3 linked regions of the Yarrowia lipolytica genome follow. The protein of the gene in region 2 purifies or fractionates together with the protein of the main gene of each other region. This does not show direct contact. Links are inferred from orthologs where the notes say so. Each region holds a gene or a part of one and is shown on either strand. Other genes may lie near its edges.

Region 1 (3,379 bases), on a different chromosome or scaffold from region 2:
GCTAACACCGTCGGGCTTGTGGAGGACATTAAGGAGAAGCGAAAGGAGGACAAAAAGAAGGCGCTTGAAGAGCCCCAGACAAAGTTGACCTGGCAACAGAAGCATAAGCAGAAGTTGAAGAACAAGAAGAAGCAATAATCTTGTTGTGTATATAGTAACTGATTAACCGAAGAGCACGAGGGGAGCGAAGATCATGAGGCGTAGCAAATCATCCTTACCCAACGCACTTGTAGCACGAGCTAAGGGAATGCTCTGTAAAATTGAAAACGAATACCCTTACTACGAATGTATCATGTAAGAACAATACTACATACATACTGTACATATGTAGTTGACCTGAATTACTGAGTTACAGTCATACCATCAAGGAACGCTACAATAAGAGCACCCCTTAGCAAATGCTCTTCACCACCATTCACATGTTTACCCTACCTATATATATCCTTCGTTATACTGTATAGCACACTCTATGTGCTGTATCATCTTATGCTCGACATTGTCTCTCCTACTCCTCCACAGTCAAATGATACTCCAGTCTGTTCAAGAAAAGCTTGGCTCGCTTCTCGGCACCGGGGACCTTGTCGTTGACTGTTACATCGACCTGCACAGTGTTGGAAGGCACCTGGACAGCAGCCTTTCGGGGCTTTCGGTCCGACAGAATGTCATACAGGTCGGCCCCATTGGAGAGAGCCCGCTTTGTGGACTTGGGGTAGATGACGTTCACGTCGTAGAACTTGGTGCCCTTGGCGGGGCCGATGATAGCCTCAAAGTCGGGGTCCACGTTGGCGGATCGGCGGGGCTTTGCGAGCTCCACGGCGTCGTATTTGGCCAGCTTGATGGCCTGCTTGACGATTCGCTGCAGCTCGAGCTGGTCCTCGGGCTCAAAGTGGGCCACATCGAGGAACGAGGTGAAGATGACAGGCTCGGGAGCAGCCTTGGTAGCAGGAGCAGCAGCATCTCCAGCCTTGGCAGCCCCAGTGGGAGCAGCAGCATCGCTCTTCTTGGCGGGCTTGATGTTGGACAAGTCGAGATGGGATCGCTTGTTAATCTCGTCGGCAACAGCGCCAGGAGAGCCCTCAGGGACCTTTCCGAGGTAGGCGAGAATGTCGCCCTTGAGAAGCCGGCCGTGGGGACCGGTGGCCTTGATCTTGGCAAAGGCGTCCTCCTTGGAGATGCCATTGGCCACAAGAAGCGAGGACACCGAAGGGAGAAGGGTCTGTGCGGGGTTAGCGGGGGCAGAGTAGCCGGATGATGAGGGAGCAGAAGACGATTCGGTCTTGGGAGCCTCCTTGGGGGTAGAAGGAGCCTTAGGGGCAGGGGCCTTAGCCTCCTCCTTAGGGGCCTCCTTGACCTCCTCCTTGGCCTCCTCCTTGGGAGCAGGCTTGCCGTCCGACTCGACAGGAGCAGGAATATCAATGGTTTTGATGTCATCTCCGGGCTCAGCAATCACAGCAATGGTGTCTCCGACCTGAATGTCCTTGTCACCGTCCTTCTTGTAGATCTTGGCCATGACTCCATCGTCAGCAGCCTCGACGTCGATCTGGGCCTTGTCGGTTTCGATCTCAAGGATGACATCACCAGCTGAAAACTCGTCGCCCTCCTTGACCTTCCACGACACAATGCCTCCCTCGGTCATGGTGGGACTCATGGCTGGCATGGCAAAGTTGCTGGCCTGATAGAGGCGAGGGGTGGTGTGGAGCACTGGGTTAGTAAAATGACGGCTGTGGGTCCGATCGGACAACAACGGAACCAATACACGGAAACGACTAGCCGCAGCTAGGTCAGGAAAGGATAATAGCATGTGTAAACCTCACAGTTTAACACACAGCAAAGTCCCGGTTCAGCGTCTCAGATATGATTAAATGCCGAAATTCAAGAGCCAGAAGAAAAAACCGAAGAGAGCAGAGTAATGTCACTTGTACCACTCAATTGCAAGTATTTCACAAGAGGACAGAAGTGGAATGGGTGTAATTTGTTCCATATTAGTGGAAGTCATCAGGGGTGGATCAGAGATCAGATCGGAGAGTGACGACATCGAGAAACACGGAACCTGTGCAACGGTCGATATTCACTGGCACAAAATGTCAACCCTCAAATCACCCTCATAATAACACCATCTGTATCAACCATCATAGATGTCTCAATGTAGACTCAACCCGTCAGATATTGAATGTGGATACCCATAACCCCAAGAAGATGCACTTGCCGACAAGAGAATCAAAAATCACCACAACAAACCAAACCGATCAATCAACCTCATCTAACGCACTCCCTTTTCTCTTGTCCTCACCCATCTCCATTCTGCATTGCTGATCTCCTTCAGTGTCCAATATCTGCGTACTGTATGCAACGAATAGCAACAAATGGCAACAGTGTAGTAGAGAAACGAAAGCTGTTGGAAACGAGACGGCCTGCTCGCAATCACACGGCCACGTGAACCACAATCTACTCTGTATCTCCGTCTCCTCCTTCTGTGTCTCCTTCTTCGACTCCCGCCCAGCATCACACATGTCACTAATAATGCACTCAAGGGGAGCAATTGAACGGCAGTCACGATGTGGAAAACATCCATCTGTATGTGACTCGTCGCTGCCAGCAATACTCACGTCGGGCCCGGGGAATAACTCTCAACAGTCGGTTCATTGTGTGCCTCAAAGGTGTCGTTATTACGTTCGGACAACTGACGTTGGTCTCGACATTCTGTTGGGACGGAAAAACAACGCACCCTAACCCTCGACTAATTTTCCGGTCTAGCATCTTGTTGGGAGTGGGGGTCGAAAGAGATTTATTTGATGATTTATTATAAAAAAAATTAAAAAAATGAGACTTGAAGAATTGAAGAAATTAGCAAGCTGGACCACCGATCAAAGGAGAAGATCAAGTATGATAGAACAGACTTAACAAAGAAGCTGTGGACCAATGAGTAGCTACAAGGTTCTTCCACTGTTACTGGTGCATGCTGTGTGACATCTACATGCGTGTGACAACTGCTCAATATGAAAAAATAAAAATTTGAAAAGTTTTGAAAAAAAAAAAAAAAAAAAAAAAAAAAAAAAGAAAAACTTGCGGCAGAATAACGACGATTTTGCCGCTAAAGAGTTGCTTGGAAAGATCAGGCTTGTTGAATCAACTCACCAAATCGGCCTATGTAGCCTGGAATTGATTCACACTTGTGGGACTTCCCGACATACGTACTGGTAGTATGTCTATGTATAGCCCCTGAGAAACGACAGCGCTTGTCTCTGACACTTTTATTTCGAAAATTCGAGGTAAATGATACAAGAAACCAATTCGAAATCGCAAGCTGATTAAATGATACTATTATGTCTACCCTTGCTACTGCCGAATGCCTCAAGATGTGGACTTTGGGTCGGTCCTT
Region 2 (4,272 bases):
TATGTACACTGTGATGTGTAGAGCTACGGTGCGAAGAGATATCAAGTAACACCATTCATGAAAGATAATCGCAAACTCAGATCAACTGGTCTAATGATCCACTACAAGCAGCAAAGACAAACCCATTGACACTCAGACACAACACAATCATGCCTCGTTGCTTCTTCCACCTAACTGTGTCATGCTTGATCCGATATGACTGCCGTCTGTTCTACATGTACAGTAAGATACTATACACTCGTGCAGCTGGAATTCGTACTTCGCGGAGGAGTATCAGTGGAAGCACTTCTTCAGCCGTTTCTTTAGACATTCACACACCTTGATAGTGCACCCCAGATCAGCTCTTGATCCAAGAACATTTCGGCTTTACCAGTTGGCACTTTGTGATCTACGACCAAATGAAATCTACTTGTACTTGCTCTAGTTCGCCCGTCACCTACGGCCATGTACTCTACAAGTTGGCTTGCGACCTGACCTGGCCACTCGCTACCATACAGTTCAGTCATTATTATCTACTACTAAAAGCACCACTAAAAGCGCTTAAAAGTGGATGGCCTTGTCGTAAGTGGCCATGGCGGCCTCCTTGAAAGCCTCGGAGAGAGTGGGGTGGGCGTGGCAGGTTCGAGCAATGTCCTCGCAAGAAGCACCGTACTCAAGGGCAAGAACACCCTCGGCGATCATCTCACCGGCGTTGGGGCCAATGATGTGGATACCGAGAATTCGGTCAGTCTCCTTGTCAGCAATGAACTTGACGGTACCCTCGGTGTCGAGGTTGGTCTTGGCTCGAGAGTTGGCGGCAAAGGGGAACTTGCCGACGTTGTACTTGATGCCGGCCTCCTTGACCTGCTGCTCAGTCTGTCCAACCCAAGCAACCTCAGGGTGGGTGTACATGACAGAGGGGATGGCGGCGTAGTTAACGTGGCCGTGACCGGTGGCAATGTACTCAGCGGTAGCAACTCCCTCCTCCTCGGCCTTGTGGGCCAGCATGGGGCCGAAAGTGACGTCACCAATGCATCGGATGTTGGACTTGTTGGTTCGGTACTCCTGGTCGATGATGATTCGGCCCTTGTCGTCCTTCTCGACACCGGCAGCCTCGAGGTTCAAGCCCTCGGAGTAGGGTCGTCGGCCAATGGCAACGAGCAGAACGTCGGCATCAAGGGTCTCCTTGTCGCCCTTCTTGACGTTCTCGACCTCGACCTTGACACCGTCGCCCTCAATGGCACCGGAAAGCACCTTGGTGCCAAGCTTGAACTTGATACCCTGCTTGGTGAGCATCTTCTGGGCGGCCTTGGCGATCTCGTCGTCCATACCAGCGCCAATGGCGTTCTGGAACTCGACAACAGTCACCTCGGAGCCGAGTCGGGACCAGACGGAGCCCATCTCGAGACCAATGATACCTCCTCCGATGATGACCATCTTCTTGGGGACGGCCTCGAGGGCAAGGGCACCAGTGGAGGAAACAATCTTCTTCTCGTCAATGGTGATGCCGGGGAAGGGGGTGGGCTCAGAGCCGGTGGCAATGATGATGTTCTTGGCCTTGAGGGTGACGGCCTCGCCGCCATCAATGGGGTCGACCTTGACCTCGGAGTCGGACACAAAAGAACCGGCGCCCTTGTAGTAGTTGACCTTGTTCTTCTTGAACAGCATCTCGATACCGCCGGTGAGACCCTTGACGGAGGTCTCCTTGGCCTCCTGCAGCTTGGCGATGTTCATCTTGACGTCAGAGACCTCGATTCCTCGGTTGGCGGAGTCGGTTTTGATGGCGTGGTACATCTGGGAGTTGTTGAGCAGAGACTTGGAGGGGATACATCCGACGTTGAGACAGGTTCCTCCGAGGGAGCCTCGCTTCTCGATACAGCCGGTCTTGAGGCCGGCCTGGGCGGCCTTGATGGCGGCGACGTATCCACCGGGGCCACCTCCGATAACAAGGACATCAAGCTCCTCGTTTGCTGTTGTTAGTATTTGCCTTGTGTGGGGTGGCGGACGCTGGCCGGAGGGGTGCAACGGGGCGACTATGGTGCAGACAAAAGACAGTGGCACAATTCGCAATTCAAAATGTCCAATTGACACGTCTCATGTCCTTTTCTCATTGCCTCTTCCCATGGATCCTTGTGTGTCGTCGCGGCCATGGTGGTATCGCATCGGGGGAGTTTTTTCCCCGTAAAAAAGCCCTCCCTGTCGCACAGATACTCACCGGAGCTGTAGCATCGCTGGAACTGGGTCACAGCTCGGGTTCGGGCAGCAACGCCGAACTTGGAGGGAAGAATTCGAGTGGTTCGCAACATTGTCGTGTTGGAAATATGTGTGAATTTCGGAAGGGTCTGGGTGAGTTGTTAAACTATGCGTCTCTGTAGGTGCGCTCCTCGCAGCAGACTTACCCTGCTCTTGTTGGGTCCGGAACAATAGTCAAAGGCAAATGTCACATTTGAGTTCACACACTCTCCTGCCAGTACATACTGTACATACGTGCACTATGACAGGTCCGTGTTCGCGCGGAGGGTCTGAGGGCGGCGCTGGTGGCGTTTAAGAATTGGCGCACAAGATACTCACTGTGTGTGTTTGTGATCGTGGCCTATCATTGCGGAACACGCCCGTCTATATATACTCTTCTGTAGAGACACACGGACCCCGTGATGGTGCTTAGCAATCGCAGAGAGTCAAAACTGTTTAAGCCAACGGAAGCTTATTTTAGGTGAAATGCGCTAATACCCGGTTGTAGCCGTAAAAAGCGGTTGTTGGTTGGACGGGCGGAAAATGGGGTAAATGAGAGGGAAAAAATTCAACAAACAGACAGAGACGAGAAGGAATTAAAAAAATACAGTATCAATTACATCTACCTGATGGCGCGGGGGGTGCGGGGGGTGCGGGGGGCGTGTGTTAGAACAAATCACTGGCGCGCACTCGCTTTCGAGGCGGCGAAAGACCTTTCTCCGGAGTAGGAGCACGGCCCTTGTTGGGGCTTCTACAAGGACTTCTAGAAGGACTTCGAGAGGAACCTCCAGACACGCTTGGAGACCTGCTTCTAGAATAACCAACTCGTCTGACCGGAGATCTCGACCGCGAATAACTGGCGGCCCGGTAACTGCTCCGGCCTTTAGCCCCTTTAGATTTAGGTCTCGGAGATGGCGATCGGGAATAAGATCTCGAACGAGAGTATGACCGCGAAGGCGAACGGGAATAAGATCGAGACCGCCGTCGACCACGAGGCGGAGAACCGGTTCTATCCCGAGATAGAGATCTTGACCGTGACCGGGATCGTGGCCGGGATCGTGGCCGTGACCGCGAACCAGGAGACCGAGTTAGCGACCGCCTTCTACTTCCTACACCTCGTCGTCGTCGTCGCCCCCGATCATCCTCAGACACTGAGTCATAGGAGTCATAGGAGTCATAGGAGTCATAACTATCGTAGGAGTCGTAACTATCGTAGGAGTCGTAGGAGTCGTAGGAGTCGTAGGAGTCGTAGGAGTCGTATGAGTCATAACTGTCGTATGAATCGTAACTGTCGTACTCTCGCTTCTGCTCTTCCTCCTCCTTCTTCAGCCTCTCCTCCTCCTCCACCAGACCAGGAAGAATCTCCCGCATACCATCTGTCAAAGGACCAAGATTAATGGCAGTGAAATAGTTGATGGCAAACCGAACATGAGAAGCATTCGTCTTGGGGAACATACCGGCAATGTACTGCTGCACAAACGACTTGGAAAGTCGCTCCTTCAACAGATCCATTCCCAGCTCCTGACGCATCTCGGTGAACATAATCTTGAGAAAGATACGGTTCGAGGGGTTCGAGTCCTCTTCAGTCAGAGAAACAGCCTCCAAAACCTTCCACGACAGAGAATCTGATGCCAACAGGTACCCAAAGAACGTGGCAATGTTTCTGATCTGATTGGGCTCGTATCTGTGGATAACCGAGTAAAAGAACCCAAAGGTGTTCTCAAAGTTGGTTCTCCATTCCCGCGACAGTCTCAGAAGCCGCTCTCCTGTACCTCCGTAGATTTTGTTATAAATCTTCTCTTGAGCACAACACTCCACAAGCATGTTCGTCACCTCCTGGGTCCGCTTGAGACGCAGAATCAGAGCCTGGTCTTCGGGGAGACCCTCAGGGATCTCAATAACCGTTCGAGACAGCTTGACAAGCTTGTGAACGATTTCGTCGATCGACATGGTCGACATGACCGTCAGATAAATTTTCTTTCGCAACGTAGCAAGCTCTGTACCCGTGAGGTCTCGCACAGCCGAGGTAGAGGCTTGAGCCTCCTCCTCTTCATCCTCCTC
Region 3 (5,906 bases), on a different chromosome or scaffold from region 2:
GCTTTCAGACACGAGTTTCGAATGTGATCGTACATGATGGAAGTGTGCTATTCAGAGCCTCAGAGCCGAAGAGAGTTTCTATCGAAGCACAGACAGCTGTTAACTGAAATCGGGTAATAAGGAGTCGAAAATAGTGTGTTTGAAATGTTGAATTTCTGACATCTGGGGTAAATAACAATAATAACAACCGGAAATACTGTTGACTAATGACGGTAAGTTTTTTGGAGAAATTGTTTCCGAGGGGATAACGTCCGTTTGAGGGATATTTTCGGATCTCCTACAAGTACTTGGTCCAGTTGTGCAGTGCTCATTTAAAATACGAACAAAATTACTGCCGTTATCTCCGCTGCAGTATGTACTCGTAGTAACGCTATAAAAAACTTATAGCAACGTACTGTAGTGTGAAAATAGCAGGGGGACAGGTCAATTGCTCCCCCCCCGTAGAATATGTAGCTAATGCCACCGTCTACTTGTGGCTAAAAGATCGTTGGGTGTAGTTTGTCGTCAACTGGTCCCCCCGCATCTTTCCGAAATTCTATCCTCAAAGCTATCTTGCATGTACGTGTCATCTGTCCACGGGTGATCATAGTTCTCTTCTAACGAGTCTGTCTCAAAATCACGTATTACTCTCTTCGCACTATAGCAAACCTCGGAATAGCAACTACAGGATGGGATACAGATTTCACCGTAGAAGAGTCCCAAAAACCCGACGATACTCCACCTAACCGCCCCCCCTTACAGCCTGGACGAGTTTTAATATTCCCTTTTAGCTGTAGCCAAGCCTCTGGTTGGGGCATAGACTGCATAGTTCCGAACTTCTCCGCATCACGTGACCAGAAACTCCCACATCTCAACTTACATATCTTACATTGTCCTTACTGGTCGGGCCAAAGAGAACACCGCTGCGCTTCCATGCTGCGTGCCGTTACATCCCATGATACAAAGCCGTGCTGCAATACACTTGTACAAGATAATCCTTCGCCGCACAATTGCATTGCACAACTGTGGGGTAGCACCTGGTAACACAATCCACACCGTGGGCGTTATCTTTCCCATCGCACACGCGTTGGTACTCTTCCTAAACCACCTGAAATACACAAAGCTGGCCAATGGCTATCTCCGCAACTTGCTCTATAGTATAGTTATGGGCGCAACCTTGTTACCATGTTTGAAGGAGACACACTGCCATTGCATAACAGGGAGTGAAGCAAAGTCGGCGGAAACCGTCGGAATATCGCCAAGTGGGGCTCGGGAGAAGGCTAGAGGGGTCAGTTAGACAGCTATGCCCTCACAGCGCTCAACGGGTCTGGTCCGGAAAATTCTGCAGAGTTATCCCGGGTGCTGGCCGCTGGAAAAATAGAGTTTCACAAGAAACTGTAAAACTGGGGCCGGTTCTTCCGGTTTATATAAATATTTGACGCTCTCCACAACTTACCCCATAACGAGTTAACGTGAGTAGTACAATGGGTGTACTTACGGTCGAAACGATACCTGCGGAGACGGCCAATTACGACATTTGTGGCCGCTGGAGTGGAATTGATGGAAAAAATCGCTTGCGATTCGTTTGTTTCGATTTGAGAGGGTCTGGAACCCATGATTAAATCCCGCTAACAAATAGATGCTCAGACACGCTTTATTGAAAAGGACCCCCGTCCTCCCGCGACTCACAAGTCGCAAGGCCTTCGTGCCATTGATCCAGAAACGAAAGTACTCTGATGACGTCTTCCTTACCACCAACGCCGCAAACTACATCGATGAGATGTATGCCGCATGGAAGGACGACCCCAAGAGTGTCCACGTCTCTTGGCAGGTGAGTGATAGTGGAGGAATCGGAAGCTGATGGCTTGTACTACGACTTGTGATGGTTATTTTTGGTTGTTTTGGTGGACATTCGACACTTGGCGTGTGAAGTGATGGAGTTGGGCCCAAGGTCATGGAGGCAAGTGGCTTATTTGCAACCGAACTGTATCACGGATACAGTGAGAGTGTACAGATAAGTCGTTTTGTTGACACGACACCTACGAATGGTTGACCCCTTCCTCCTTGCTCCAGAATGCACTAGCTAGCACAATTGAGAGACCTGCTGTTGCATTTTTCTGCGCCTGCCTGTAGCAATTTGTATGTCTCTCGATTGGCTCAGTACCTCTGCATCTCTGCACACTAGACCTGCCCTTCGTTTGCGGTTGCCACCACTAGACTCAGGGTGTCTTCCCGCATTGGGAGTTACGGGTTGAGCCGGAGCATGGAAAAACGTGCATGCAGGACGCAGAATTGTTGGTCGGAACGGACTAACAGGTGTATGCGCCGAGAGAGATCCCGGCGTGTGTGATTAGTAAAGGTTCTGGACGTGTTTTTGACATACCCCACCTGACTATTCCTCAATTGTCCATTCCTGGGCTTTTTGGATTTTAGTTTCATTACTTTTTGCACATGCTTGGTGTTTATCTCTAACTCCTGCCCCAGCAAGTCCCAACTGCACCTTAATTTAGGCCTCCCTGACTTAACTAAATCCCAACTAAACCTACCCAGCAAATGTATCAACCAGAAGCACGGCCGCAATTGACCTATACTAACTCAGTCTTACTTCAAGAACCTGGATGGTGGCCTTCCTGCCGACAAGGCATTCTCTGCCCCTCCCACTATTGTGCCCTCTCCCTCTGGAGGTGTTCCCACCCCCGCTGCCCCCTCCGGCGCTCCTTCTGACATCACCAACCACATGAAGGCCCAGCTGCTGGTTCGAGCCTACCAGGTCCGAGGTCACACCAAGGCCAAGATTGATCCTCTTGGAATCTCCTTTGGCTCCGACAAGAACAAGAAGCCCCCTAAGGAGCTGACCCTCGAGTTCTACGGATGGACCGACAAGGATCTCGACACCGAGATCACTCTCGGCCCCGGTATCCTCCCCCGATTCGTCGAGAACGGTAAGAACAGGCGAACTCTCCGTGAGATTATCATGGACTGTGAACGAATCTACTGTGGCTCCTACGGTGTTGAGTACATCCATATTCCCTCTCGAGAGGAGTGTGAGTGGATCCGAGACCGAGTCGAGACCCCCAAGCCTTACAACTACACCCCTGACCAGAAGCGACGAATGCTCGACCGACTTATCTGGGCTAACCTCTTCGAGACCTTCCTTGCCTCCAAGTTCCCCAACGACAAGCGATTCGGTCTTGAGGGTGCCGAGACTGTCGTTGTCGGTATGAAGACTCTGATCGACCGATCCGTCGATGCCGGAATCGAGGACATTGTTATCGGTATGCCCCATCGAGGTCGACTCAACATGCTTTCCAACGTTGTGCGAAAGCCCAACGAGTCCATTTTCGCTGAGTTCCAGGGATCTGCTGTCTTCGACGAGGGTTCTGGAGATGTCAAGTACCATCTGGGTGCCAACTACCAGCGACCCACCCCCTCTGGAAAGAAGGTCAACCTCTCTCTTGTCGCTAACCCCTCACATCTTGAGGCTGAGGACCCCGTTGTCCTGGGTAAGACCCGAGCTATCCAGCACATGAAGCATGACGTCGGCACCTTCGACAAGGCCATGGGTGTGCTCATGCACGGTGACGCTGCCTTTGCCGGCCAGGGTGTTGTCTACGAGACCATGGGCATGCACTCTCTGCCTGCCTACTCTACCGGTGGAACCATCCACATCATCGTTAACAACCAGATTGGTTTCACCACCGATCCTCGATTCTCCCGATCTACCCCCTACCCCTCCGATCTGGCTAAATCCATCGATGCCCCCATCTTCCACGTCAACGCTGACGATATGGAGGCCGTCGACTTCATCTTCAACCTGGCTGCTGACTGGCGAGCTACCTTCAAGTCCGATGTCATCATCGATCTTGTCTGCTACCGAAAGTTCGGTCACAACGAGACCGATCAGCCCTCGTTCACTCAGCCTCTCATGTACAAGAAGATTGCCGACAAGCCCAACCCTCTTGACATCTATGTCGACAAGCTTCTCAAGGAGAAGACTTTTACCAAGGAGGACATTGAGGAGCACAAGCAGTGGGTCTGGGGAATGCTCGAGGAGTCTTTCAAGAAGTCCAAGGACTACGTGCCCCATCAGAAGGAGTGGCTCGCTTCTCCTTGGGACGACTTCAAGACCCCCAAGGAGCTTGCCACCGAGATCCTGCCCCATCTCCCCACATCTGTTGAGGAGAAGAAGCTCAAGGAGATTGGAAAGGTCATCTCCTCTGTTCCGGAGGGATTCACCCTTCACCGAAACCTCAAGCGAATCTTGTCCAACCGAGGCAAGTCCGTTGAGGAGGGCCATGGCATTGACTGGTCCACTGGTGAGGCTCTTGCCTTCGGTACTCTGCTTGAGGAGGGCCACCACGTCCGACTTTCCGGTCAGGATGTCGAGCGAGGTACCTTCTCTCAGCGACACGCTGTTGTCCACGACCAGGTTAACGAGACCACATATGTTCCTCTGAACCACCTGACCAAGGATCAGGCCGACTTCACCGTCTCCAACTCCCATCTTTCCGAGTACGGTGTCATGGGCTTTGAGTACGGTTACTCCCTGGCTTCTCCTGAGGCCCTTGTCATCTGGGAGGCTCAGTTTGGTGACTTCGCCAACACTGCCCAGGTCATCATTGATCAGTTCATTGCCTCCGCCGAGACCAAGTGGTCTCAGCGATCCGGCTTGGTTCTGTCTCTGCCCCACGGATACGATGGACAGGGTCCCGAGCATTCTTCCGGACGAATTGAGCGATACCTGCTGCTCGGAAACGAGGATCCTCTCCACTTCCCCTCTCCCGATAAGCTTGAGCGACAGCACCAGGACTGCAACATCCAGATTGCTTACCCCACTACCCCCGCCAACATCTTCCATCTGTACCGACGACAGATGCACCGAGCTTTCCGAAAGCCTCTGGCCTGCTTCTTCTCTAAGAACCTGCTGCGAAACCCCATGGCCAAGTCCGACCTCTCTGAGTTTGTTGGTGAGTCTCACTTCCAGTGGGTCATTGAGGACGACCAGCATGGCAAGACCATCAACAACAAGGAGGGCATCGAGCGAGTTCTCTTCTGTTCCGGCCAGGTCTGGACTGCTCTCTTCAAGCGACGAGAGGATCTTGCTGACAAGAAGACTGCTATCATCCGAATCGAGCAGCTGCACCCCTTCCCTTGGGAGCAGGTCCGAGAGCTTCTGGACTCTTACCCCAACCTTAAGGATATCTGCTGGGCTCAGGAGGAGCCTCTTAACGCTGGTGCCTGGGTCCACATCCAGCCTCGAATGTACACCACCTTCCAGGCTACCAAGAACCACAAGCATGCCCACATTAGATACGCTGGCCGAAAGCCTTCTGCATCTGTTGCTGCCGGTACTAAGAAGCTGCATCTTGCTGAGGAGGAGGCTCTTCTGAAGCAGGCTTTCCAGCAGGAGGATAAGGCCTAAGTGGTCTGTTCACCCTTATGAATGTCATTTAATTGTATATGAAACGCTTGTTGAAGTGTATGAACTGAGAACAAAAAGTATGTATTATTGTAGCGAGTGACTTCGGTGTATTCAGCCCATTTTGTAACGGAACAGAGGAGATATATTGTACAATAAATGTGAAATATAGGACTGGAGAGACAAGAGGTTGTAGACTATGAGAAACTGCGAAAAGCCAGAGCCATATTAGCAGCTACAAGCAATGTCGCTGTCGATGTAGCCCATGTTTACCATGACTGTAATATAAACAGTAAATTCGACTGGTATCGGTACCAGTAAGCAGACTACTGTAACAATAGAGCGTACGTTTACCATAGGTAATCCTACTGTGTAGACTTTGGAGAGTGGTTAATTGGAGCAGACATTATCTACAGCTAAAAACACAGCTACAAGTAGCTCTGACAATGCTCGGGTCTTCCCATGGGGCTGTACCTATGAGACTAGCCCTTGAAACAGGAGAAGTAAT

What was found. Proteins that work in one complex are often made in the same cells at the same time.
Region 1: the proteins of YALI1_D26360g (region 2) and YALI1_B13179g purify together in Saccharomyces cerevisiae (affinity purification with mass spectrometry; 3 studies listed by BioGRID). This does not show direct contact. The link is inferred for Yarrowia lipolytica from reciprocal best matches to the Saccharomyces cerevisiae genes LPD1 and PDX1.
Region 3: the proteins of YALI1_D26360g (region 2) and YALI1_E39693g purify together in Saccharomyces cerevisiae (affinity purification with mass spectrometry; 5 studies listed by BioGRID, with this or other methods). This does not show direct contact. The link is inferred for Yarrowia lipolytica from reciprocal best matches to the Saccharomyces cerevisiae genes LPD1 and KGD1.

What each region holds. Positions count from the first base shown.
Region 1 is NC_090771.1:1,316,152-1,319,530, forward strand, and holds YALI1_B13179g (uncharacterized protein), read right to left. Parts: upstream 1,802-3,379; coding exon 506-1,801; downstream 1-505. Other genes in the region: YALI1_B13150g (uncharacterized protein), read left to right, coding at 1-138. UniProt on the Saccharomyces cerevisiae protein: Required for anchoring dihydrolipoamide dehydrogenase (E3) to the dihydrolipoamide transacetylase (E2) core of the pyruvate dehydrogenase complexes of eukaryotes. This specific binding is essential for a functional PDH complex.
Region 2 is NC_090773.1:2,634,083-2,638,354, forward strand, and holds YALI1_D26360g (uncharacterized protein), read right to left. Parts: upstream 2,286-4,272; coding exon 2,195-2,285; intron 1,950-2,194; coding exon 541-1,949; downstream 1-540. Other genes in the region: YALI1_D26394g (uncharacterized protein), read right to left, coding at 2,878-4,272.
Region 3 is NC_090774.1:3,967,734-3,973,639, forward strand, and holds YALI1_E39693g (uncharacterized protein), read left to right. Parts: upstream 1-1,618; coding exon 1,619-1,810; intron 1,811-2,578; coding exon 2,579-5,401; downstream 5,402-5,906. UniProt on the Saccharomyces cerevisiae protein: The 2-oxoglutarate dehydrogenase complex catalyzes the overall conversion of 2-oxoglutarate to succinyl-CoA and CO(2).